Callithrix jacchus: one gene and its partners. The protein of the gene in region 1 interacts with the protein of each later gene in a biochemical or structural test. Links are inferred from orthologs where the notes say so. Each region holds a gene or a part of one and is shown in the gene's direction. Other genes may lie near its edges.

Region 1 (3,979 bases):
GCTAATTTTTTGTATTTTTAGTAGAGACGGGGTTTCACTGTGTTAGCCAGGATGGTCTCAATTTCCTGACCTTGTGATCTGCCTGCCTTAACCTCCCAAAGTGCTGGGCTTACAGGTGTGAGCCACGGTGCCTGGCCAATTTTTGTGTTTTGTGTTGAGACGAGGTTTCGCCATGTTGCCCAGGCTGGGCGCAAGAGATCATTATGCCTCAGCCTCCCAAAGTGCTGGAATTACAGGCCTGAGCCACGATGGCCAGCCCACCTCCAGTTTTGAGGTTACTGGTGTGTAAAGCACCCAACTCAGGGTTCCAACAGTAATTACGGTTCATGTAATGTCTACTCTTTATAATTCTTTTTACGTGCACACCCTGCAATATTACTGTGCTACTCAAAGCTTATTATGGGGCCAGGTGTGATGGCTCAGGCCTGTGATCCCAGCCTGGCTAGCATGGAAACTCCCCGTCTAATAAAAATACAAAAATTAGCGGGCGCGGTGACATCCGCCTGTAGTCCCTGTTACTCTGGAGGCTGAGGCATTGTCATCGCTTTAACCCAAGAGGGGAAGGTTGCATTAAACCAAGGTCGCGCCACTGCCTTCCAGCCTGTGGGACAGAGCAAAACCCGCCTCAAAAAAAAAAAGCTAATTATGGGACTTATAAGAAAATATTAATTTAGCATGCCCCAAGGACCAAAGTGCGCTGGGAATTCTAGCTGTCTTTGAGTGTGGTCAGCCGCCTGGGGGCCACGGAGACCCACGAGGAAGGGGGTCCTCGGTGCAAGCGAGGTCCAGGTCTTGAACCAGCCTGTCGCTATGTCTTGAACCTCAGTTTCCCTTTCTGCATTTGGAGAAGTTAACCCTCAGTGCGGGGCAGCCGGTTATTAACGTGTTCACGACACCCTCCACCCAGGGCAGGGGTGGGAAGGGCTGTTCAGCTTTTGAAAGAGAAAAACAACTTCCACATTCCTTCCGGCCCCACATCCTCGAAACGGAGCTGGGCGCCTCCTCTCGGGCGTAACTAGCCTCGGCCCCGCCCCCGACAGACACCGCCCCCAGCCCGCCGCCGAGGCCCCGCCCCCTGGGCCTCCGCGCCTCACATCCAGCGGGGGCGCTAGAGCGCGGGGGGCCGGGCAGGGCGGGCCCGGGAGGCCCGGAGGCGGAGCGGCGGGCCGGGGGCGGACTGGGGCGGGCGGAAGGAGAGCCAGGCCGGAAGGAGGCAGCCGGAGGGCGGGAGACGGGAGCGGGCCCGGAGCTGCTGGACTGGAGCGGCGGCGCCGCCATGTCCGACAGCGAGAAGCTCAACCTGGACTCGATCATCGGGCGCCTGCTGGAAGGTTGGCCGGGGTGGGGAAGGTCCGCGTCCGCCGCGCCCTGGACCCCTGCCCAGCCCGGAAGTGGCGCGCGGGCGGGCCCCCGGGGCCAGCTTAGACTGGGCGGGGACGCGCCGCGAGGTTCCGTGGCCGCAGCCGCCCCCCCCCGCGGACGCGCCTGAGAGGTCCGGGGCCGGCTTCGAGGCGCGGAGCAGCCCCCTCTCCCCGGCCGGGGGCTCACGGGTTGCCTCGGCTCTTGGGGCGAGGGAGAAACCCGGGAAGCCCGGTCCAGGGAGGTGTCTTGCGCTGTGAGGTTTTGGGCGGCAGCCCCCTGCGCACGACAGTCGCCTCCCGAGCCTTTGAGGATAACTAGGGGGGCTTCCCTTGGGAGGCTTGAGGCCGACGTCCCAGGAGGCTCAGCAGCAACAGCTGCCTCTGGGCAAGGAGGGGCCGAGGAGGCCTAGGCGCCCCCGGAGGTATCCACGGGGCCACCGTGTCGCCCACCCTCCCCCTGTCTGAGAGGCCAGGGTCCTGACTCCGCATTGCGCCCCCAGTGCAGGGCTCGCGGCCTGGCAAGAATGTACAGCTGACAGAGAACGAGATCCGCGGTCTGTGCCTGAAATCCCGGGAGATTTTCCTGAGCCAGCCCATTCTCCTGGAGCTGGAGGCACCCCTCAAGATCTGCGGTGAGCAGCCCCCAGCCTCGCCCAGGCCCCTTTGGCTTCCTAAAAGTGGCACTGGCCCCCACAAAGTTCCTGGAGCCCTCCTCCCTTGAGCCTAGTCCTGGCCCTGGGTTCAAGTCTAGACCCAGCATCTAGCTTACTCGGTTCCATGGGTCACAGGTGACATCCACGGCCAGTACTACGACCTTCTGCGACTATTTGAGTATGGGGGCTTCCCTCCGGAGAGCAACTATCTCTTTCTGGGGGACTATGTGGACAGGGGCAAGCAGTCCTTGGAGACCATCTGCCTGCTGCTGGCCTACAAGATCAAGTACCCCGAGAACTTCTTCCTGCTCCGTGGGAACCACGAGTGTGCCAGCATCAACCGCATCTATGGTTTCTACGATGAGTGTGAGTGGTCTGAGCACCCAGGGTTGCCCGGGTCCCGAAACGCTCCTTGCTATTCAGTGGGACCCTCACATTGGCTTCGTATCTGACAGACACTTGCTAGACTGTGCGCTCCACGAAGGCAGGGCCCGCTCCATTCTCGTGCCTGCCCTGCCCTGCCTGGCACGGGGTCTGGGGCATGGTTGCTGACTGGAAGGCTGCTGGTATTCTGGTGCTTGCTCCCAGGGCCCTGCCTGGTGAGGCTCCACTTACATCTGCTACTAAGCACTTAGGATGTGTTTGCAGATGGGCTCAGCTGTCCAGAAGCTGAGATAAACCAGACCTGTACTTGGCCCAGCTTATGGGTGGGGGTGTTTGGGGAGTGCCAGCCCTGAGGCCGGTCCAGATTGGAACTCAGTTTTCATTGGACTTGGGTGCTTTAGAATTACTTCTGGCAGGAAGATCACTTGGACCCAGGAGCTCCAAGTTACAGTGAGCTATGATCTCGCCACTGCACTCCAGCTGACCCTGGGTGACAGAGCAAGACTGTTTAATTAAAAGTTAAAATAAAAAGTAAAGAGAATAGTTCCTGGAAGGCTGATAGGCTGCAGGGGCAGGAGTGGGGACAGGGGCAGGGTGCAGGGTGGTTTGCCTCCAAGCCTCTCTCCTCCCATCTGCGTCTGAATAGCCCAGGGACCCAGGTGGAGGGTGGGGTAGGCGGGCCCCTCACAGCCATCTCCTGGGCAGGCAAGAGACGCTACAACATCAAACTGTGGAAAACCTTCACGGACTGCTTTAACTGCCTGCCCATCGCAGCCATCGTGGATGAAAAGATCTTCTGCTGCCACGGAGGTGAGGGAGGGGACGGCTGGGGACAAGGAGACCTGGCCGCATCCCCCATTGCCGGGCCAGCTCTCCTTAGGTCTGTCTCATCTGGGAAGTCACTCCTTCTGGGAAGTGTCTCCCATACCCCTGTGCCGGGCTGCGCTGACTCCCTTGTGCATCCTACATGGAATAGGCTTGGCTTGTCTATCTCCCGGGAGCTCTGCGCTCCTGAGGGCGGGGACATCTTTGTGCCTCTTTGGGAACCTGCAAAAGCTGAGGGGAAGGGGATGACTTCTGCCGCCTGGGTGCCCAGGTGACCTGTGGAGGAATCAAGGGGGCAGTGGGAAAGGTGAGGCTGATTGGCCACAGCTTCCTGGAGTGAGGATGTCCTTGTTTGAGGATGTGGACTTCCCCCGGTCCCCCAGGCTTGTCCCCAGACCTGCAATCCATGGAGCAGATCCGGCGTATCATGCGGCCCACAGACGTGCCTGACCAGGGCCTGCTGTGTGACCTACTGTGGTCTGACCCTGACAAGGACGTGCAAGGCTGGGGCGAGAACGACCGTGGCGTGTCTTTTACCTTCGGAGCCGAGGTGGTGGCCAAGTTCCTGCACAAGCACGACTTGGACCTCATCTGCCGGGCGCACCAGGTGGGCTGGCAGCTCTGGCCTGGGGTGGGAGAAAGGGAGGCCAGTGCCAGCATGCAGAACTGACTGCTCTGGTCTGCACCCAGGTGGTAGAAGATGGCTATGAGTTCTTTGCCAAGAGGCAGCTGGTGACACTTTTCTCAGCTCCCAAC
Region 2 (4,201 bases), on another chromosome or scaffold:
ACTCCAGCCTGGGTGAGAGAGCAACACTCCCTCTCAAAAAATAAATAAATAGGCCAGGCATGATGGCTCATGTCTGTAATCCTAGTACTTTGGGAAGCCAAGGCAGGTGGATCACCTGAGGTCGAGAGTTCAAGACCAGCCTGGGCAACATGGGTGAAACCCGTCTCTATTAAAAATACCAAAAACTGGGTGGATGAGGTGGCTCACACCAGCAATCCCAGTACTTTGGGAGGCCGAGGCAGGCAGATCACCTGAGGTTGGGAGTTCAAGACCAGCCTTACCAGCATGGAGAAACCTCGTCTCTACTAAAAATACAAAATTAGCCAGGCGTTGTAGTGCATGCCTGTAATCCCAGCCACTCTGGAGGCTGAGGCAGGAGACTCGCTTGAACCTGGGAGAATTGCAGAGGTTTCAGTGAGCCGAGATTTCGCCATTGCACTCCAGCCTGGGCAACAAGAGCGAAACTCCATCTCAAAAAAAAAAAAAAAAGCCCGGGCGCGGTGGCTCAAGCCTGTAATCCCAGCATTTTGGGAGGCTGAGGCGGGTGGATCACAAGGTCAAGAGATCGAGACCATCCTGGTCAACAAGGTGAAACCCCGTCTCTACTAAAAATACAAAAATTAGGTGGGCATGGTGGTGCGCGCCTGTAGTCCCAGCTCAGCTACTCGGGAGGTTGAGGCAGGAGAATTGCTTGAACCCAGGAGGCAGAGGTTGCGGTGAGCCGAGATCGCGCCATTGCACTCCAGCCTGGGAAACAAGAGCGAAACTCTTGTCAAAAAAAAAAAAAAAAATTAGCTGGGCGTCGTGGTACATGCCTGTAACCCCAGCTTCTTGGGATGCTGAGGCCGGAGAACGGCTTGAACCTGGGAGGCGGAAGTTGCAGTGAGCCGAGATCGCGACATTGCACTGCAGCCTGGGTGACAGAGACTTCGCCTCAAAAAATAATAATAGTAAATAAATAATTAGGCCTGGAGTGGTGACTCACGCCTGTAATCCTAGCACTTTGGGAGGTCGAGGCGGGGGGGGGGAGGGGGCGCGGATCTCCTGAGATCAGGAGTTCAAGACCAGCTTGGCCAACATGTTGAAAAAAATCCCGTCTCAAAAAAATAATTAATAAATAGATAAATAAATTGAGGTGGGAAGGCATCTGCCCTGAGCTAAGAGAACTGGCCCGCTGCTGAAGCAGGACCATGCATTTGATTGACAGTTCGCTTATTTGGGAGGCGTGGTCACGATCGGAAACTCCGCCGTGACGTCACAAAGTTGGAATCTCCGCGAGAAGTCCTGTCTTACTTTCACTTCCCACCCTTCGGGGTGTGCTCTCGAAACCCCGCCTCTCCCCGTGACGTCACACGTCGGGGCGCGGTAGACTATAAAATCTTCGCGGACGCTTTTCGCGTTCATTGTGTTGGTTCCTACCCTAGTTGTAGTTCACGTGCGAGAAGTCGCACGACCCTGCGCCCGCTTGTCGCCCCCGCGCTTGAGGCAGCCATAGATATTCTGTGTTCCTGGACCCCAACCTCTGAGGGTGAGATGAACGCGCTGGCCTTCCTAGCCGTCCGGACCTGGGATCGCTTCTGGCAGCCCGAGCCGGCCCTCCTACCCCCGGGGTGACGCGCAGTCCCCAGCCGGTGAGTAAGGGGTCGAAACGCCTGGGTCTCCACGGGGCTGGGGGCACGGATTTAAGGAGGAGAAGGGGTTGGGAGCCTGGAGTCCTGAGTCTGAGGGAGGAGGGATCTGGAAGCCAGATTCTTGGGTTCCTCTTGAAGGAATCGTCTGGCAAGTGGGTGGGTCGGGTCAGAATATTTGAGTCTCCAAGAGAGGGAGGGTGCGGGGGTTTGACTTGTCAATCTTCAGCAGGATGAGTGAGCTAGGGTCTATGACCTTGTCCGCAAGGGAAGCAAGTAAAAGACTTGTTCTTGGGACTGGGATTTCTGCATCTGAGCAAAGAGGAGGCTGGGGGCTTGGACCCTTGGATCTAAGGAAGAACTAGGGGCTCAGATTCCTGGCTCTTGAGTGATGAGAGAGAATGGAGCCAAGGGACAGAGAGGGGAGTGGCTGAGATCAGAAAGGAATTTGGGGCAGAGGCTCACGGTGCTGTTTATGATAGTTGTGTTACTATTTTTGTTGCTGTGACTCATAGTCATGCCCGAATGCCATCTCCTTAATGGCCCCTAAACTTTATTTTTTTCCTCCCCCTTTTCCAGCCCAGACACATGGCCCCAGGCCAAGCACCCCATCAGGCTGCCGGCTGGAGGGATGCCCATCCTTTCTTCCTCCTGTCCCCACTGATGGGCTTCCTCAGCTGGGCCTGGAGCCGCCTGAGGGGCCCGGGACCTCCAGAGCCCTGGCTGGTAGAAGCAGTCAAGGGAGCAGAAGCTGGCCTGGAGGGAGAAGCTGAGACTCCTCTGACAACCCCCGCTACCCTTTGGGACAGATACTCTGAAGAGGAGGCTGAAGACAGTGGAGGCCCTGAAGGGGACAGAGAAGCGATGGGCCTGAAAACCAGCACTTCCCTTCCTGAAGCCTGGGGACTTTCAGATGATGACGATGACAAGTATAGTGAGCGAGAAGCAACCAGTGTCCCTAGAGGGCAGGGAAGTCAATTAGCAGATGGCCAGCGTGCTCCCCTGTCTCCCAGCCTCCTGATAAGGACCCTGCAAGGTTCCGATAAGAACCCAGGGGAGGAGAAAGCCGAGGAAGAGGGAGTTGCTGAAGATGAGGGAGTCAACAGTTTCTCTTATCCTCCGTCACACCGGGAGTGTTCAGCAGTAGAGGAGGAGGACGAAGAAGCTTGCAGAGCCTCTACTGCCCTGTCTCCAGGATCCAAGCCCAGCGCTTGGGTGTCTTGCCCAGGGGAAGAAGAGAATCAAGCCACGGAGGACGACGGAAGAACAGAAAAAAGTCAAGGAGCCAGGAAGACCCCCGTGTCACCCCCATCTTCAGGCTCTAACCCCACGGCCTGGGAGTATCATTCAGGAGAGACATCCGAGGAGAAGGAAAAGGCACACGAAGGAGCTGGGAAAGGAAAAGCTGCCCCAGGGCCACACTCCTCAGCCCCAGCTCAGAGGCCCCAGCTCAGGGCTTGGCCGTGCCAACCCACTGATGAAGAGGAAGGTGAGGTTAAGGCTTTGGGGGCAGCTGAGAAGGATGGAGGAGCTGATCCTCCCTGCATCCCTGCCACAAGTGCCTTCCCGAAGGCCTGGGTATATCAGCCAGGAGAGGACACAGAGGAAGAGGAAGAGAAGGCGGAAGATGAGGACAGTGATACGGGATCAGCTGAGGACAGGGGAGAAGCTGAGACTTCCGCTTCCACATCCCCTTCAAGTGCTTTCTTGAAGGTCTGGGTGTATGGGCCAGGAGAGGACACAGAGGAAGAGGAAGGTGAGGAAGAAGATAAGGACAGTGACTCTGGATCAGATGAAGAGGGAGGAGCTGAGGGTTCCTCTTCCACTCCTGCTACAGGTACCTTCTTGAAGTCCTGGGTGTTTCAGCCAGAAGAGGACACAGAGGAGGAAGATGAGGACAGTGATACGGGATCAGCTGAGGACGAGGGAGAAGCTGAGAATTCCGCTTCCACACCCCCTGCAAGTGCCTTCCTGAAGTCCTGGGTGTATCAGCCAGGAGAGGACACAGAAGAGGAAGATGAGGATGAGGGAGAAGCTGAGAATTCCGCTTCCACACCCCCTGCAAGTGCCTTCCTGAAGTCCTGGGTGTATCAGCCAGGAGAGGACACAGAAGAGGAAGATGAGGATGAGGGAGAAGCTGAGACTTCCGCTTCCACACCCCCTGCAAGTGCCTTCCTGAAGTCCTGGGTGTATCGGCCAGGAGAGAACACAGAGGAGGAAGATGAGGATGAGGACAGTGAGGATAAGGAAGATGATTCAGAAGCAGCTGTGGGAGAAACTGAGTCAAACCCACATCCATCCCACCCAGCCCAGAGTGCCCGCTTCAGAGACTGGGTATATCAACCTGGGAAGGAGACAGAGGAAGAGGAAGCTACTGAGTACTGGGGAGAAGCTGAGCCCTGCCCCTTCCGAGTGGCCATCTATGTACCCGGAGAGAAGTCACCGCCTCCCTGGGCTCTTCCTGGGCTACCCCACCGACTGCAGAGGCGGCTCAAGCACCCAGAATCACCGACCCGAGATCCGGACCCTGAGACTCCCTTAAAGGCCAGAAAGGTGGGTGCTGAGAGCCCAGA
Region 3 (3,500 bases), on another chromosome or scaffold:
AGACCGACATGCATTTGAGACAGCCCGGCGTCTGAGCCATGACAACATGGAGGAGAAGGTGCCCTGGGTGTGCCCCCGGCCCCTGGTTCTACCATCACCTCTTGTCACCCCTGGAAGCAATAGTCAGGAGCGATATATCCAGGCTGAGCGGGAGAAGGGAATCCTTCAGGAGCTCTTCCTGAACAAGGAGAGGTGAGCAGAGTGGGATTTGTGCCCTGGGATGTTGAGGGCTTGGACACTCCTAAGGGGAACATGACTTGGGGTAATTAAGCATGGGTGGAGGTTAGAAATAACTTTCAGGGCCTAAATTAATAACTTAACTGTCATTCTTTTTTCCATCACTTGTGCTGTTCCTGATAGTCCTCATGAACCTGATCCTGAGCCCTATGAGCCCATACCCCCTAAACTCATCCCCCTAGATGAGGTGAGTGAGTCAATATTATGTGATGATAGAGGTTGTGATGATCATTGATTTTGGTGCATCTTTCACGAGAAAATGTCTCCATTCTTTCAGTTAGGCCTGATTTTTTTTCTTCTTCTTTCAGGAGTGTTCCATGGATGAGACTTCATATGTTGAGACCCTGGAACCTGGGGGGTCAGGTGGCTCACCTGATGGGGCAGGAGGCTCCAAGTTGCCTCCAGTTCTGGCCAATCTTATGGGAAGCATGGGTGCCGGAAAGGGCCCCCAAGGCCCTGGAGGAGGAGGCATTAATGTGCAGGAGATCCTTACCTCCATCATGGTATGCACCCCCTTCCCTTCGCCACCTCCTTGGAGCCTCCTTAAGTGCACTGTCCTCACTCTGTCTCCCATTCACCTTACCTTGGTCCTCCACATCTACCCACTTACTCCTAATCTTTGAGTCCCTTTTGCGATGGTTGTTACCCTTTCTGTCTGTTGACTTTGCCTTCTTATATGCTCACAGGGTAGCCCAAACAGTCATCCTTCAGAGGAACTACTGAAACAACCAGACTATTCAGACAAGATCAAGCAGATGCTGGGTAATCTTCAGGGCAAGCCCCAGAGGCCTGGGGGAGGAAGCCTTCAGTGGAGTTTGGGGAGGCAGGTTTTCACAGATGTGAAAGAGTATAGGGCTATTGCCACTAGACAAGAAGTGGGAGGGGAAGACTGGACAGAGAGCACTGCTCTGCCAGCTTGGTCTGAGAGGGTCAGTTGGGCACACCTAAACGGGAGATCATGTTAGTCTTCTAGAGTGCTCATACTGACTGTGTTACTCTTGTTTTCATTAACAGTGCCACATGGACTCTTAGGCCCTGGCCCAATAGCCAATGGTTTCCCACCAGGGGGTCCTGGGGGCCCCAAGGGCATGCAGCACTTTCCCCCTGGACCTGGGGGACCTATGCCAGGTAGGTGGTGAGTAAGAGGTTGGAATGGGCTAATCGGCCTAATTTCAAGTGATAATAGTATGGGATTGCCTGGAAGGCGGGAGGTGGTGGTTTCTGTTGGGAGACGGCAATTCCTGAGTGTAGTAGATAGCTGATGCTCTCTCTTTTCTCTCTTACAGGTCCCCACGGAGGCCCTGGTGGGCCAGTGGGTCCACGTCTCCTGGGTCCTCCACCCCCTCCCCGGGGGGGTGATCCCTTCTGGGATGGCCCAGGTGACCCCATGAGGGGTGGCCCAATGCGGGGGGGTCCAGGACCAGGTCCTGGACCATACCATAGAGGCCGAGGTGGCCGAGGGGGAAACGAACCTCCTCCTCCTCCTCCTCCTCCTCCGTTCAGAGGCGCCAGAGGAGGTCGCTCTGGAGGAGGTCCCCCAAATGGACGAGGGGGGCCTGGTGGGGGCATGGTTGGAAGTGGTGGGCATCGTCCCCATGAAGGTCCTGGCGGTGGTATGGGCAACAGCAGTGGACATCGTCCCCACGAAGGCCCTGGCGGTGGCATGGGCAGTGGGCATCGCCCCCATGAAGGCCCTGGTAGCATGGGCGGGGGTGGAGGACATCGTCCCCATGAAGGCCCTGGCGGTGGCATCAGTGGTGGCAGTGGCCATCGTCCCCACGAAGGCCCTGGCGGAGGAATGGGTGCCGGAGGTGGACATCGCCCCCATGAAGGCCCTGGACACGGGGGGCCCCATGGCCACCGGCCTCATGATGTTCCTGGTCACCGAGGCCATGATCATCGAGGGCCACCACCTCATGAGCACCGTGGCCATGATGGCCCTGGCCATGGGGGAGGGGGCCACCGAGGGCACGATGGAGGCCACAGCCATGGAGGAGGTGAGGATGCTCCCTGCCTCCATATACCTTTTGATGTGCCGTACAAGATTTTAGGGAGTGGTGGTGGGGAGAGTCACCACTGTTGGTAGCTAGGCAGAATGTGAAGTCCCCTTATTTCCTTGGTGTCCTAGTATGCATAGCAATTCCTACTCTGCCCTTCCCCCAGATCCACAAGATCATGTCTCTGAAACACAGTTCTCAGGATGCCATGGACTGGGGTGGTGAAGGTGTTGGCATTGCCCGCAGCCATTTCCTGTCTAACTGTTCTGCTTTTGTTCCCACAGACATGTCAAACCGCCCTGTCTGTCGACATTTCATGATGAAGGGCAACTGCCGCTATGAAAACAACTGTGCCTTCTACCACCCGGGTGTCAATGGGCCCCCCCTGCCCTAGGGACCATTTGCCTGTCCTGTTCACACAACCCCTGTGGACTGCAGCCTCGCTCCTTCCACCCTGTTATGGCTTCTGTGAGGCCCATTTTCCCCTTTCCCCAGCTGATGAGGAGCCAGCCCCCTCAGTTCCCACTTGCTTGGGTTCCTGGGGGTTTTCTGATCACTGGTGCGCATTGATGTACATATTTTCCTCCAGTCTGGGGAGGAGAGAGACTGGTAACGTTCTGTACCCTGGACTGCTGAAGAGGAGACCCAGTTGGCTTCACTTTTTGAGAAGATTCGCCCTGTACCCCAAACCCCTTTCCAGTATTGCCCATAATGCCTGAGAACGTAAAGCTGGTTATCCTGGAGAAAACCCCTACCCTTCTATTGCGGGTCCCCACATGCACACAGAACTCTGACACAGGATCAGCTGCACTTAAGAAATCCCAGCTAAGCTCATTATTACTCATGGGGTGGGGAGATGGTGAAGGGGTATTGTATATCCCACTGCACTGAGGGGGCTCAATCAGCTGGATTTGAGTTCTGGAACACACATCATCCCCACTCCTCCCCCAGCATGGGCTCCATTCAGAGTCCTTTCTCAAGTGGGACCTTGAACTTAGTGTGAACAACCATTCTGCGTCCTGGGTCTGCTGGGTTCGACGATCGTGAACTCATATCTGCATCCAGTGAAAGTAGCTGGCAGAGTTGAGGCCAGTGGTGCTGGTCTGCTCTTGCCAACTACAGCCAGTCTGTAGACTTGATAAAGTACTTCAGTGAGACCAGCTTCTCATTAACTTGTGCCCGGCGTGCTGGGCCTGAAAGTCACACTACATGCACTGCCTTTGGGAGTTAGCGCACTCCCTGCCCCTACTTGGAACCTTGTCAGTG
Region 4 (3,500 bases), on another chromosome or scaffold:
TGCTTATTTTTTGTGATTCGAATAGTTTTTTCAGAAGCTGAAAGTTTTCTTTTTGCTATAATTTGCTTACTCTGGAATAATAAATATTTATTATAACAATGATGTTTGTCATAATTAATACATTAACAATAATTTATTAATATATTGATAATTATTATAATAATAAATATTTGAGAGGAAGATTCTTAAGGGAACCTAGAAATAAACTGTAGGTTTTGTTAACTTATGTTCTACCTGCCCTTTATGTTTCAGGCTTGGGATGATGTAGTACGTAAAGAAAAACCTAAAGAGGATGCATATGAATATAAAAAGCGTTTAACCTTAGACCATGAGAAGAGTAAATTGAGCCTTGCTGAAATTTATGAACAGGAGTACATCAAACTCAACCAGGTGAGAGAGCCTGTAAGCAAAACCATTGTTATTAAAGAAACAGAAATAGAGAACTAGGTTTTTTGTGACAGTTGAAATCATGAAACAAGTCTTGAGCTCTTCAGCTACCTCGTTTAAATATGAGTCAGAGCATGTAAGGAATAGAAGGGTTATAATATCCCCAGTTTATGTGAGGGGTTGGGAGGTTTGCTTTGCAATTAGGCTTTGGTCACCTGATACTTTTACAACTAATTATTAACTTTCTAGCAATTATTATGGTGGTGCTACAACTTTAAAGCCATTTCTCATTGACATTTGAAGTTACTGGTATATTTTACATGATTATGGATTCTTTCTGATTTTTAGGCCTGTTTCCTCTTTCACTTAACTAAAAGAAATCTCTGGGCTGAGTATGGTGGTTCACACCTGTAATCCCAGCACTTTGGGTGGCTGAGGCGGGTGGATTGCCTGAGGTCAGGAGTTCGAGACAAGTCTGGCCAACATGGTGAAACCCTGTCTCTACTGAAAAATAAAAAAAACTAGCCAGGCGTAGTGGTGTACACCTGTAATCCCAGCTACTCAGGAGGCTGAGGCAGGGGAATTGCTTGAACCAGGGAAGTTGGTGGTTTCAGTGAGCTGAGATTGCGCCACTGCATTCCAGCCTGAGTGACAGAGCGAGACTCCATCTCAAAAAAGCAAAAACAACAAACCCACAACACACACAAAAGAAATTTCTGGTTAAATAATAGGACAAGGTCATATTTTCAGGAATATTATATGCCTATATGATAATTGAATTTTTCCTTCACATTTGATTTATTGGGAATATATTTAATATGTACTTTGGGATCCGGTGGCATTTTTCTTCTGCAAAAGCCATTTACAATTCCTACCAAATTTTGTTAATAAATGCCCCTCAGGTAGCAACAGCAAATTGCCCTGATGCCACTGTGAAGTTGAAGAACTGAAAAGATTTGAATTAAAATTCTTCCTGGCTACCTTGCAATCCAAAGTGGTTGCTGAAAGAGGATGTGTACAGTTTCATTTGAGTCTTTGAGGAGATTCAGTAAATACAGAAAGTATTGGTGACCACAAGAGTTAAAAATTAGATATGTAATGCAGTAGCTTATGCCAGCTCTAAATGTAGTTTTATTTCTCTCTCAGAAGTCAACAGCGAGTTAAGAAGTTTTTGAGGATAGACTTGGATTTCTAGTATATTCATTAGCTAGGCTAATTCTAGAAGTGAAATGATGGTAAACAGCATATGTAGGAGCCTTTACTCACAGTTGTATATGTATTGTGGCTCAGAAAATTCTAAATAGCAAATACATTGCTATGTGTTTGATTTTATGGATATTGTTACCTAGAATAAGGTGAAAGGACATGTTTAGGATTTTTTAAAGTGTGAGGTAAGTTAAAATAGTAAGAAGCAGTAATAGCGTGATGATGCCTGACCATGGCTGGAAGGTGGGTGCTGATGATGGACATTGGAAACAGACCTGGCTGCGTCTCTGTCATCAGGGTCAGGAGGCAAAGAGCCCGTTGTTTCCAAGTTTTGGTGGTTTTTTTTTCATGTCTTAATAACAAACAAACAAAAAGCCTTCTTAGCCATTTAGAATAAGTATTTGGGGCCAAGGGGGACAGAGAGAGAAGCATTAAATTTACATTTTCTCTTCAGTAGAATTAAAATTGCAGTCAATATTTAAATGTGATTTGTCAGAATAAATCTTTAACACATTACATTTAAATAAAAGGAAAAAGCCCCTACCATCCAAATGGATGTTTGGTAAGTTGATGAAGTCTATATTAACACTACTTCTTTTTTTTCTTTTTAATTGATGTGAGATTTACATAACATAAAATTAACCACATTAAGTGAACCAATTGGGAGCATTTAGGACAGTGTAACTTACTAGTTCTATCTAGTTCTAAAACATTTTTATCAGCCCACAATAAAGCCCCATATGCATTAAGCAATTGCTCCCCTTTCCTCACTTGCCCCAGCTCTAACAACCCCCAGTCTGCAGTCTATCTTTGTGGATTTGCCTATTCTGGATATTTGATATAAATGGAACCATACAATATGCAGCCTTTCATTTCTGACTTCCTTCACTTAGCGTCATGTTTTCAGTACTGCGGCATTTGTCAGTGCTTCATTTCTTTTTTATGGTTGCACAGTATTCTATTGTGTGTATGTACCACAGTTTATCTGTTCATCCGTTGATGGGCATGCAGGCTCTTATCACCTTTTGACTGATAATAGTGCCGTGTACATGTATTTGAGTACTCGTCTTTAATTCTCTTGGTTGTACACCTAGGAATGGCATTGCTGGGTCAGATGGTAATTCTCTGTGTAGTTTTTTGAAGCCTGCCAAGCTTGTTGCCACTGTGCCTGCATCATTTTATATTCCCATCAACAATGCACAAGGGTTCCAGTTTCTCCATCCTTGCCAACCCTTGTAATCACTTGCTGTATTCCTTTAAAAAAAATTATTCCTTTATAAAATTATATAGCCATCTTAGGAATAGCTTAGTTTTTGGCAGAAGTAAATGCCAAGAGAATTAAATTTTTAGCTTCTGAATATTAGAGGTAATGGTTACTGTAGTTCCTAAAATGCACATCACATCTCTTCTTTGTAGGTGCTGGAACTCTCACAGTACTGCTACTTTTAATTTTGCTTTTGGAGTGTTTCTTTGTAGCTGAAGCTTTGGTGATGAGAAGCTGGGAATACCCTCACTGGCCTTTAGTGTTTTGTCCTGTGATATGTATCAAGCCACTTAGTTTGACATTGTTGAATTTATTTTCTAAGCAAAAAACAGCAGAAGAAGAAAATCCAGAGCACATAGAAATTCAGAAGATGATGGATTCCCTCTTCTTAAAATTGGATGCCCTCTCAAACTTCCACTTTATCCCTAAACCGGTAAGTGTGTTAACAGTTCAGTGTGTAGCTAGAGCAGGATGACATTAATAGCTCTGATCCTTTGTGAGACTAGCTCATTGTTTCAGGATACAAACCTGCAGTAGCCTCCTGTAAATTCCAGGCAGGGTCTCCATGAGGAAGGCTCACTTCTGGTCCCATGAAAGTTCTGGCTCTACCCAGATCTTCAGTGAGCCCCTGCCAGACCCTCAG
Region 5 (2,520 bases), on another chromosome or scaffold:
CAGGTTGGCGTGATCTCGGCTCACTGCAACCTCTGCCTCCTGGGTTCAAGCGATTCTCCTGCCTCAGCCTCCCAAGTAACTGGGACCACAGGCACCCGCTACCTTGTCCAGCTAACACTTGTATTTTTAGTAGAGAAGGGAGTTCACCGTGTTGGCCTGACTTCAGGTGATCCACCTGCCTTGGCCTCCCAAAGAGCAGGGATTACAGGCATGAGCCACCGTGCCCAGCCCCTCAGTGCCCATTTCAGAGTCAAAAGGAAGCACCTATGTGTCCCTTGTCCTCAAAGGGCTGTGAGTGGGTTGCCAGTGGTGAGTGGGCAGCCAATTGCTTGGGACCTCTTAGGAGAGGCTACCTGGTGAGACGTGATCCAAAAGCCATTTTCCCAGGTGTTTCTAAGTACCAAGCCATCCCACAGAAAGGCCATTAGAGCTTGCAGCGGCCCATCAGCTGTAGCTGCCTCCGAGAAACCATAACCACTCTTCCCGGGGGACGGAGAAGGGAAATCCCTGCCTTCCTAGTTCTTGTGTGGCTGCCATCCGTTCGAGTTGCTTTCACAAAAGAAACCAGAGTTTTAAAAAGTATTGTGAGTTTAGAACCCGACTCTCGTTGGAAACCACAAGTAACTGAACGTGTGTATATGTGAGTGTGTGTGTGAGTGCATGTATGAGTGTGTGTGAATGCGAGTGTGAGCGTATGAGTGTGTGTGTGAATATGTGTGTACATGCACCAGTATGTGTGTATGTGTGTACATGCGCCAGTATGTATGTGTGCATGCACCAGTATTTGTGCATACATGCGACTGTGTGCGTGTGCCAGTATGTGTGTGTACATGTGCCCGTATGTGTGTACGTACGCCTGTGTGTGTACGTGTGCTAGTATGTGTGTGTGCGACAGTGTGTGTGAGTGTGTGTACGTGCGCCAGTGTATGAGTGTGTATGAATGTACAGGCGCCAGTGTGTATGAGTGTGTACATGTGCCAGTATGTGTGTGTATGAGTATGTGCGCCGGTGTGTGTGTGTGTGTATGAGTGCGTACATGTGGCAGTGTGTGTGTGTACGTGCACCAGTATGTGTGTGTATGAGAGTGTGTGCACGTGCACCAGTATGTGTGTGTGTGTGTATGTGCGCCGGTATGTGTGTGGGTATGTGTACATGCGCCTGTGTGTGTGTGTGTGTATACGTGCACCAGTATGTGTGTGTGTGAGTGTGTATGTGCGCCGGTGTGTGTGTGTATGTGTACATGCGCCTGTGTGTGTGTGTGTGTGTGTATGAGTGAGTACATGCTCCAGTGTGTGTGTACGTGCACCAGTATATGTGTGTGTGAGGGTATCTGTGTTGAGGGAGAAGAGACTCGGAGAGGAGGAGTTCACCCCACCTTTAGAACTGGGAAAAGTGAATGGGACACATCCTGCAGCTCCACATAGCACGGATTTGTCCCAGACACAAATGCTTGGTCCAGTCATTGTCCAAAACACCCCAAAAGTTCAGGCTTCCAGGAGCCACCCTACCAGCAGCTCCCCTGGGTCTGGGCCTCCCTTGGGAGGGTGAGGTGAGGCATGGGACGTGGCCTCACTGCCCTCCTTGCCTCAGGAGGCTCTCAGGCCTGCTCTCTGCAGAGCCTTGAGATGGCCCCACTTTGTCCTAGCACATGGGTGGGGTTGGCACCCAGGCAGGGCGCTGTCGAAGGGACAGCTGTTGGACCCGCTTAACCTGGGGCCTTGCTCTCACTTGGGACAGAATTCAAGAAGACAGACAAGAGTATCTTGGTCAGTCCCACGGGTGCTTCTCGGGTGGCCTTCGACCCTGAACAGAGGCCCCTCCACGGGGTGCTGAAGACCCCCACCAGCTCGCCTGCCAGCTCACCCCCAGTGGCCAAGAAGCCCCTGACCGCCACACCAAGGAGAAGGCCCAGGGCTGTGGATTTCTTCTGAGGAGCAGCAGAGTCTCTTGAAAAAGACTGCTTTTGTACAGACTACTCTATAAACGATACCTTTAAGAATGTGGGGCCTTTTATCATTTCCTGAGCTGTAAGTGTGTGCGAGGTTCTGAATGTGCACGGGCTACTGCATCCTGGCCCTTGGAGCAGCTGTGGGCGTCTTGGTTGAATCTTGCTGCAAACCATGTTTGTTTTTGAGCTCTCCAGGATTTTACATTTTTGGGTACCCTCGGTGATTCCCACTGGTGTAGGAAATGAGACCCTCTGTGAGCTGAGGAGACCACGTGGATCTGAAGTTTGAATAATCAATGCCATTGGCACAGTGACAGGTGGAGCTGCACTTCCCGGGGACTCATACTCGGGGTTCGTACTCATTATCGTACTGGCCATGCTAAGCTGGTTTTCTGGTTTGTCTAGTCTTAACAGTCTGTTTTATTTTAAAAGCATCTAGGGCTTCATTGCCATGTTCTGTGGGTGTTGGGCAGGTTACTGATCAGGAAGATTCTTGTCACAGAATCAGCAATACCATAGTTTTTCTACATGTGCTCAGCTGGGGGCGTGGACAGGTAGGGGTGGGGGAAGAA
Region 6 (3,500 bases), on another chromosome or scaffold:
GCCACCCCCAAGTGGGCCCCCAGCCCACAGTAGCTGCTTTCTTCTCTGTCTGCAGTGCCTGGCCCTGCGGGGAGCGGAGCGGCGGAAGCTGATGCGAGCGGAGCTGCACCACCAGCACACGGTGCTGCTCAGGGCGCTGCAGGCGTGGGTGGTAGGAGCTGCTGCTTCCCTCCTGAGCTCCTTGCTGTGGGGACAGGGGAGGTTTCTGGAGACTCTGTTTCCCTTCCTTGTTCTTCCTGTCCCTCCCACAACAAAGTGATGTGACAAACCTGAAACCAGCAAGTGCCTTAGCGAGGCCCTGGGACTCAGGCCTCAGGTTCTTCGGTTCTTGCTGGGCCAAGTGGAAACAAGTGCTGCTGGTGGGCCCCAGCCTTGAGGGGAAAGCAGCTCCTTGTCCAGGAGTCCTGGGGTTTGACTTAGGAGGTGAGGGCCTATGGGACAGTCTTCTCCCTGTCATCTGGGAGGGTCTGCTGGCCCTGGGACTAAAGGCTGTTGGCCTCTCCCTGCCCTTTTTGAATGCTGTGGCAGCCTTGTGGTAGAGGCACCTCTGAGGCCTGCCTAAACAGGGAGAAGTGTGGACCCAGGGGCAGCCTCCAGTCCCCCTTGTCCCCCTTGTCCCCCACAGACTTATCAGGGCAGGGTGCAGAGCATCCTCCAGGAGGTGGCAGCCAAGGAGAGCCAGCACAACAGGCAGCTGCTGCGGTGAGTCTCCCAGGCGCCTCCCAGGCTCTGGCCGGGAATGAGGAACACACTCCAAACCCCAGCGTTTTGGGGGGGTCCTGCTGAGGGCCAGGGATGATCCCAGGTCCCTAGTACCTAATATCATGGTCTTGGCTTTTCCGCTTCACTCATGAGTTCACCTTCATTTGTCTTAAGCCCCTGCTGTGTACAGGGCAGGCCCTGGAGAGCAGCTGTCACCTGCATGCCTGGAAGCCCACTTGTCTTGCTCTTCTTAGCAGTTTTTCCTCCCTGCTTCATACCTGCAAGATTCAGGGGTTTGCAAAGCTTTGCAAGATTCAGTTTTGCAAGAGATTCGCCTTGTCATCTCTTCCACTCCAGAGGCTGCAGTGGCTCCCTTTCCTATCAATTTCCAGGCATTCCCCTTCCCGCTTGCTCTGCAGGCCTGTCTCTGACTTCAGAGTCACCTCTAGTCCCTGTCGGACCATCTGCACCACGCACTCCTGTGGAGGGTGCTTATGCAGCTTCGTCCCCTTTTTCTAAGCCAAACTCTAACCTCCCTCCTTCCCAGTAGTCTTCCCACATGCCCCTTTCATTTCCTTCCTTTGTGTTTGTTCAGCACATGATTGATAATCCAGGTGGCCTCTGGGCAGTGGTTTTTAAACGCCTCCATCCTTAGCTGGGCACATTGGCTCACACCTGTAATCCCAGCACTTTGGGAGGCTGTTTGAGTCCAGGAGTTTCAGACCAGCCCGGGCAATGTAGCAAGACCTTGTCTGTACTAAATATAAAAACAGCCAGGGATGGTCATGTATGTCTGTGGTTCCAGGTACTTGGGAGTTTTAGGTGGGAGGGTCACTTGAGCCCGGAGGTCAAGGCTGCAGTGAGCCATGATCATGCCAATGCATTCCAGCCTGGGCAATGTAGTGAGATCCTGTCTCTAAAAAGTAAAGAAATAAAATAAATGCCTCCATCCCTCATATGGGGTCCCACAGAGCACCCATCCTGCTCTTCAGATAGAGTAGAATAGGCAAAAGGAACTCCCCAAGCTAACTCAGCAGCAAGCTGAGGCATAGGCAACCTTCCTCCAGGTCCCCTGCCTCTCCACACTTCTCTTATCACAGTGTGAGTCACCTGTGTTGCCACTGCCGGATTACGCCCTGTTATCCCCATAGCACCTGGAGTTTGGTCTCCAGCAGTGCTGGGTCCCTCATGCACTCTCGGTGCCCAGCCCAGAGCAGCTGCTCAGTAGCCCTTTGTTGGACGTAGATATGCATGTAAACATGGGTGTTGGTCAAACATTCTTAGGCATAGAGTCCCTGACTCAGGAGCAGGGGAAGAGGGGGAATGATTCACAGAAGCCTCCCTTCTCTCTCCATCCTGGTGTCATCTGCCCTCCCGACGACACCCATGCACCTACAGGGGGGTGTTACGTCGCTGGAAAGAGAACACCATGGCCCGCATGAATGAAGCCAAAAAAACCTTTCAAGCAAGTACTCATTACAGAAAGACCATATGTTCCAAGGTGAGGTATATGGAGGCAAGCTGGTGACCCAGGAGGGTTCGGGACTATGTTCTGGTGAGGGCATGGGGGGGTGGTACTAGAGATTTAAACTGAATAAGGAACCCAGAAAATGGGCAATTTTCCTCCAGCACATACAGAAACATCCATGTGGGCAGGTATTTAGTTTTTTAATGAATTATAAACCAATATGCATTAAAATAGAAATATAACACATCATAAGTGAAGTGGTTCTTATCGGAACCCAGAACCAGTATTTGCCTTTTTTTTTTTTTTTTTTTTTTTTTTTTTGAGACAGTCTTTCTGTCACCCAGGTTGGGGTGCAGTGGTGTGAGCTCAGCTCACTACAGCCTCCATCTCCTAGGTTCAAGCAATTCTTTTGCCTCAGCCTCCCAAGTAGTTGGGACTGCAGGCATGTGGCACCACGTCCAGCTAATTTTTGTATTTGTAGTAGAGATGGGGTTTCACCATGTTGGCTAGGGTGATCTTGAACTCCTAACCTCAGGTGATCCACCTGCCTTGGCCTCCCAAAGTGCTGGGGTTACAGGCACTTTGAATCTAAGAGGCAGAGGTTGCAGTGAACTGAGATCGCACCACTGCACGCCAGCCTGGACAACAGAGCAAGACTGTCTCAAAAAAAAAAAAAAAAAAAAAAAAGAAAACTCCAAAGCCAGCCTGTGCCTCCCTTCCCCTGGAAGGAGAACACAGGAATCTTTGCTTGGCTTCAGAGCTTGAAGAGGAGGCATTTTTAGTGGGAATGGAGTTCATGACAGTTTGCAGGCAGGCACCAGGCTTCCCCTGGGCAAGCATTTTGTTACTGTGATTTTGTAGGCATCACTCATACAGAAGAGTGGATACAACATATGTGGTTCCATTTAATAGATAGTAATAGAGGCTGGGTGTGGTGGCTCATCCCTTTAATCTCAGCACTTTAGGAGGCTGAGGTGGGTGGATCACTTGAGGTCAGGATTTTGAGACCAGCCTGGCCAACACAGTGAAACCCCATCTCTACTAAAAATACAAAAGTTAGCCGGGTGTGTTGGTGCATGCCTGTAATCCCAGTTACTCAGAAGTCTGAGGCAGGCGAACTGCTTGAACCTGGGAGGTGGAGGTTGCAGTGAGCCGATATCACGCCATGTACTTCAGCCTGGGTGACAAAGTGAGACTATGTCTCAAAAAAAAAAAAAAAATTTTATGGGTGGGCGTGGTGGCTCATGCCTGCAATCCCAGCACTTTGGGAGGCTGAGGCAGGTGGATCACACAGTCAGGAGTTTGAGACCAGCCTGTCTAATATGGTGAA
Region 7 (3,500 bases), on another chromosome or scaffold:
CAGCCCCGACAACAGGTGCCCCAGAGCCCCACTACTCCCAGCTCCAGGGCTGGGGTGACACAGGACGGCACAAGTGGAGGAGCCAGCACCACTGTCTTCATGGCCAGGGGCTGGAGCCGGTGCCCAAGGGTGGCAAGACCACATCTGCCCGGCAGCCTGACGGGCATGGAGGGCTCAGCAGAGTGGGTGAGTGAGCCCCCTGGTGAGTGCTCCCGGGCATAGGGGCAGATTCTGAGCTCTGGACCCTTCTCCCTGCGACTGGGCATGTGTCATCCTCTGGAGGTGTCAGGCTGCCATGGATGGGCTCTGACTATCCCCTCCTGGGTCCACCTCAGAGCTGGCAACAGCTTCTCCCCACACTCAGCTGCTGGGTGGGGTGTCCCCCTCGCCACCAGCATCCCCCCAGTGGCCCTGGATCTGGCGGAGCGAGGGCTGGTCCTGTGGAGGCCATGCCCTGTGGTGCTGGTAGGAGGGGCATCGGACAGCCGGGGCTGGGGAGGAGGGAGAGGTCACCTGGCCTGGGGTGACCATTTGCGAAGCCCTGGTGGCTCACCTCTTACAGTGAAAACTGCCTGTGGCTTCCCGGAAGGAGAATGCCCTGGCTGCAGGGATGCCGGGGCCCGTGCCCTCTGAGTTCCCTGGGCCGCTGCTGTGCTGGGACGTGACCTGTGCACCAGGGAGGACTGGGCGCGCCTGCACTCACCATGTGGACTGAGCAGGGCTGGGGGTGGGTGGTCCGGTGATGGGACAATTGCTTGTCCCCCACATCCCTCCAGGTGTCCTGGTCTGGGCTCAGGTTGATAGGAAAACCCAGGCCCCAGAGCTCAGGGACCCCCAACCCTTTACCCTGCCCAGCGGCCTCTCCGATGAGGCCGTTGCCTCATTAGTAAGTTCCCCGTTGTTCAAATTCCTTGCTTGGCAAAATGTAAGTGGAACATTTTTTTCCGAGTGTCAGTATGAAAAATGGTCGTTGCTGGGCTGTCACTGGGGCAGCTGCTCCGATTCTGAAGTGCGTATGGCTGATGCGGCAAAACTGGAGGGAAAACGTTCCGTGCACCTGAGTGACCCACGGGTGGGACGCAGCCTGAACACCCTCTGTGCCCGGGGCCCCTGCCCAGCTGGCTGGGCCACCTCTGGGTCTGGCTTCCCTGGCAGTGCCCAGGATGGTGCTCCAGGCCCCTAAGACAGGGAGTGCTCTGCCAGAGCAGTGGCCGCTCCTGTCCCAGGATCCTGGCCCTCGGTCTCAGTGGTGCTGAACCAGGATCCCGGCCCTCGGTCTCAGTGGTGCTGAACCAGGATCCCGGCCCTCGGTCTCACTGGTGCTGAACCAGGATCCCGGCCCTCGGTCTCACTGGTGCTGAACCAGGATCCCGGCCCTCGGTCTCACTGGTGCTGAACCAGGATCCCGGCCCTCGGTCTCAGTGGTGCTGAACCAGGATCCCGGCCCTCGGTCTCACTGGTGCTGAACCAGGATCCCGGCCCTCGGTCTCAGTGGTGCTGAACCAGGATCCCGGCCCTCGGTCTCAGTGGTGCTGAACCAGGATCCCGGCCCTCGGTCTCACTGGTGCTGAACCAGGATCCCGGCCCTCGGTCTCAGTGCTGCTGAACCAGGATCCCGGCCCTCGGTCTCAATGGTGCTGAACCAGGATCCCGGCCCTCAGTCTCAATGGTGCTGAACCAGGATCCCGGCCCTCAGTCTCAATGGTGCTGAACCAGGATCCCGGCCCTCAGTCTCAGTGGTGCTGAACCAGGATCCCGGCCCTCAGTCTCAATGGTGCTGAACCAGGATCCCGGCCCTCGGTCTCACTGGTGCTGAACCAGGATCCCGGCCCTCAGTCTCAGTGGTGCTGAACCAGGATCCCGGCCCTCAGTCTCACTGGTGCTGAACCAGGATCCCGGCCCTCAGTCTCAGTGGTGCTGACCTCTCACTTCGGATGCCGTGCTCCATCCTCTTGGTGGGCAGGGGACAACAGCTGTGCTGGGCAGCCCACACGTGCCATTGTCACCTGCAGTTGCCACCTGGCCAACGCTGGTTGATTGGGGAATGCTCTCATCCCTGCAGCCCCTGCAGCCATAGCTGGTGCCTCCTCCTCCAGGAAGGCCATGTGGATTGGCTCAGACCTCCTCCAGCCTCCTGTCAATGGCTCTCCATCCCCTGAGTCCAGCTGGCCCAGCCCGTTTTCAGACACAGCTAGGGGTGGCTCTTCCAAGAGGGTGCTGTGGTGGGGCGAGTCTGCCTTCCTGTTGACCCAGGGCCGTTTCTGTCGCTGGCCCTAAGGAACACACCCCACCCCTTGCCTTCTCCCGGGGACTCAGGCGTCTCAGGCATGTGTGTCCTGGCACACCGGGTTGCTGCCTGGCTGCGCAGCGGGGGTCTGATGGGCAGTGTGTGTAGCCCTCACCGCCTGCCCCCTGCAGGGGAGTACATCAAGACTTGGCGGCCACGGTACTTCCTCCTCAAGAATGACGGCACCTTCATTGGCTACAAAGAGCGGCCGCAGGACGTGGACCAACGCGAGGCCCCCCTCAACAACTTCTCTGTGGCACGTGAGTGTCCCCCTGGCCTCTCGGGGTTTGGATTTGGGAGTTGGCTGGAGCCCTTTATACCCACCAGGCCCCACAGTGGGGTGCCCTGCAGCCTCCGTGTCCTGGGCCAATGAGGAACGTGCACCGGCTGAGTGGGGGTCTCTGGGTCAAGTCCCAAGGCTGAGGCTGGCTGAGTGGGGGTCTCTGGGTGAGTCCCAAGGCTGAGGCTGGCTGAGTGGGGGTCTCTGGGTGAGTCCCAAGGCTGAGGCTGGCTGAGTGGGGGTCTCTGGGTCAAGTCCCAAGGCTGAGGCTGGCTGAGTGGGGTCTCTGGGTCAAGTCCCAAGGCTGAGGCTGGCTGAGTGGGGGTCTCTGGGTGAGTCCCAAGGCTGAGGCTGGCTGAGTGGGGGTCTCTGGGTGAGTCCCAAGGCTGAGGCTGGCTGAGTGGGGGTCTCTGGGTCAAGTCCCAAGGCTGAGGCTGGCTGAGTGGGGGTCTCTGGGTGAGTCCCAAGGCTGAGGCTGGCTGAGTGGGGGTCTCTGGGTGAGTCCCAAGGCTGAGGCTGGCTGAGTGGGGGTCTCTGGGTGAGTCCCAAGGCTGAGGCTGGCTGAGTGGGGGTCTCTGGGTCAAGTCCCAAGGCTGAGGCTGGCTGAGTGGGGGTCTCTGGGTGAGTCCCAAGGCTGAGGCTGGCTGAGTGGGGGTCTCTGGGTCAAGTCCCAAGGGTGAGGCTGGCTGAGTGGGGGTCTCTGGGTGAGTCCCAAGGCTGAGGCTGGCTGAGTGGGGGTCTCTGGGTCAAGTCCCAAGGCTGAGGCTGGCTGAGTGGGGGTCTCTGGGTGAGTCCCAAGGCTGAGGCTGGCTGAGTGGGGGTCTCTGGGTGAGTCCCAAGGCTGAGGCTGGCTGAGTGGGGGTCTCTGGGTGAGTCCCAAGGCTGAGGCTGGCTGAGTGGGGGTCTCTGGGTGAGTCCCAAGGCTGAGGCTGG

Evidence for each region.
Region 2: the proteins of PPP1CA (region 1) and PPP1R15A are reported together in a solved structure, tested with the Homo sapiens proteins (2 studies listed by BioGRID and IntAct, with this or other methods). The link is inferred for Callithrix jacchus from reciprocal best matches to the Homo sapiens genes PPP1CA and PPP1R15A.
Region 3: the proteins of PPP1CA (region 1) and PPP1R10 form a complex in vitro, tested with the Homo sapiens proteins (2 studies listed by BioGRID). The link is inferred for Callithrix jacchus from reciprocal best matches to the Homo sapiens genes PPP1CA and PPP1R10.
Region 4: the proteins of PPP1CA (region 1) and MPHOSPH10 form a complex in vitro, tested with the Homo sapiens proteins (2 studies listed by BioGRID and IntAct). The link is inferred for Callithrix jacchus from reciprocal best matches to the Homo sapiens genes PPP1CA and MPHOSPH10.
Region 5: the proteins of PPP1CA (region 1) and RRP1B form a complex in vitro, tested with the Homo sapiens proteins (4 studies listed by BioGRID and IntAct, with this or other methods). The link is inferred for Callithrix jacchus from reciprocal best matches to the Homo sapiens genes PPP1CA and RRP1B.
Region 6: the proteins of PPP1CA (region 1) and SFI1 form a complex in vitro, tested with the Homo sapiens proteins (2 studies listed by BioGRID and IntAct). The link is inferred for Callithrix jacchus from reciprocal best matches to the Homo sapiens genes PPP1CA and SFI1.
Region 7: of the proteins of PPP1CA (region 1) and AKT1, one has a biochemical effect on the other in vitro, tested with the Homo sapiens proteins (3 studies listed by BioGRID and IntAct, with this or other methods). The link is inferred for Callithrix jacchus from reciprocal best matches to the Homo sapiens genes PPP1CA and AKT1.

The regions. Positions count from the first base shown.
Region 1 is NC_133511.1:124,477,355-124,481,333, reverse strand, and holds the start of PPP1CA (serine/threonine-protein phosphatase PP1-alpha catalytic subunit), read left to right. Parts: upstream 1-1,179; 5' UTR 1,180-1,276; coding exon 1,277-1,331; intron 1,332-1,861; coding exon 1,862-1,993; intron 1,994-2,149; coding exon 2,150-2,380; intron 2,381-3,103; coding exon 3,104-3,208; intron 3,209-3,606; coding exon 3,607-3,830; intron 3,831-3,913; coding exon 3,914-3,979. UniProt on the Homo sapiens protein: Protein phosphatase that associates with over 200 regulatory proteins to form highly specific holoenzymes which dephosphorylate hundreds of biological targets.
Region 2 is NC_133523.1:42,713,758-42,717,958, forward strand, and holds the start of PPP1R15A (protein phosphatase 1 regulatory subunit 15A), read left to right. Parts: upstream 1-1,401; 5' UTR 1,402-1,631; intron 1,632-2,207; 5' UTR 2,208-2,216; coding exon 2,217-4,181; intron 4,182-4,201. UniProt on the Homo sapiens protein: Recruits the serine/threonine-protein phosphatase PPP1CA to prevents excessive phosphorylation of the translation initiation factor eIF-2A/EIF2S1, thereby reversing the shut-off of protein synthesis initiated by stress-inducible kinases and facilitating recovery of cells from stress.
Region 3 is NC_133505.1:35,398,201-35,401,700, reverse strand, and holds part of PPP1R10 (serine/threonine-protein phosphatase 1 regulatory subunit 10), read left to right. Parts: coding exon 1-192; intron 193-360; coding exon 361-424; intron 425-545; coding exon 546-740; intron 741-923; coding exon 924-999; intron 1,000-1,251; coding exon 1,252-1,365; intron 1,366-1,523; coding exon 1,524-2,234; intron 2,235-2,518; coding exon 2,519-2,628; 3' UTR 2,629-3,500.
Region 4 is NC_133515.1:42,751,405-42,754,904, reverse strand, and holds part of MPHOSPH10 (U3 small nucleolar ribonucleoprotein MPP10), read left to right. Parts: intron 1-252; coding exon 253-390; intron 391-3,179; coding exon 3,180-3,290; intron 3,291-3,500. UniProt on the Homo sapiens protein: Component of the 60-80S U3 small nucleolar ribonucleoprotein (U3 snoRNP). Required for the early cleavages during pre-18S ribosomal RNA processing. Part of the small subunit (SSU) processome, first precursor of the small eukaryotic ribosomal subunit.
Region 5 is NC_133522.1:49,362,650-49,365,169, forward strand, and holds part of RRP1B (ribosomal RNA processing protein 1 homolog B), read left to right. Parts: intron 1-1,737; coding exon 1,738-1,931; 3' UTR 1,932-2,520. UniProt on the Homo sapiens protein: Positively regulates DNA damage-induced apoptosis by acting as a transcriptional coactivator of proapoptotic target genes of the transcriptional activator E2F1.
Region 6 is NC_133502.1:202,085,769-202,089,268, forward strand, and holds part of SFI1 (protein SFI1 homolog), read left to right. Parts: intron 1-55; coding exon 56-151; intron 152-625; coding exon 626-702; intron 703-2,100; coding exon 2,101-2,203; intron 2,204-3,500. UniProt on the Homo sapiens protein: Plays a role in the dynamic structure of centrosome-associated contractile fibers via its interaction with CETN2.
Region 7 is NC_133509.1:139,649,545-139,653,044, reverse strand, and holds part of AKT1 (RAC-alpha serine/threonine-protein kinase), read left to right. Parts: intron 1-41; coding exon 42-186; intron 187-2,418; coding exon 2,419-2,547; intron 2,548-3,500. UniProt on the Homo sapiens protein: AKT1 is one of 3 closely related serine/threonine-protein kinases (AKT1, AKT2 and AKT3) called the AKT kinase, and which regulate many processes including metabolism, proliferation, cell survival, growth and angiogenesis.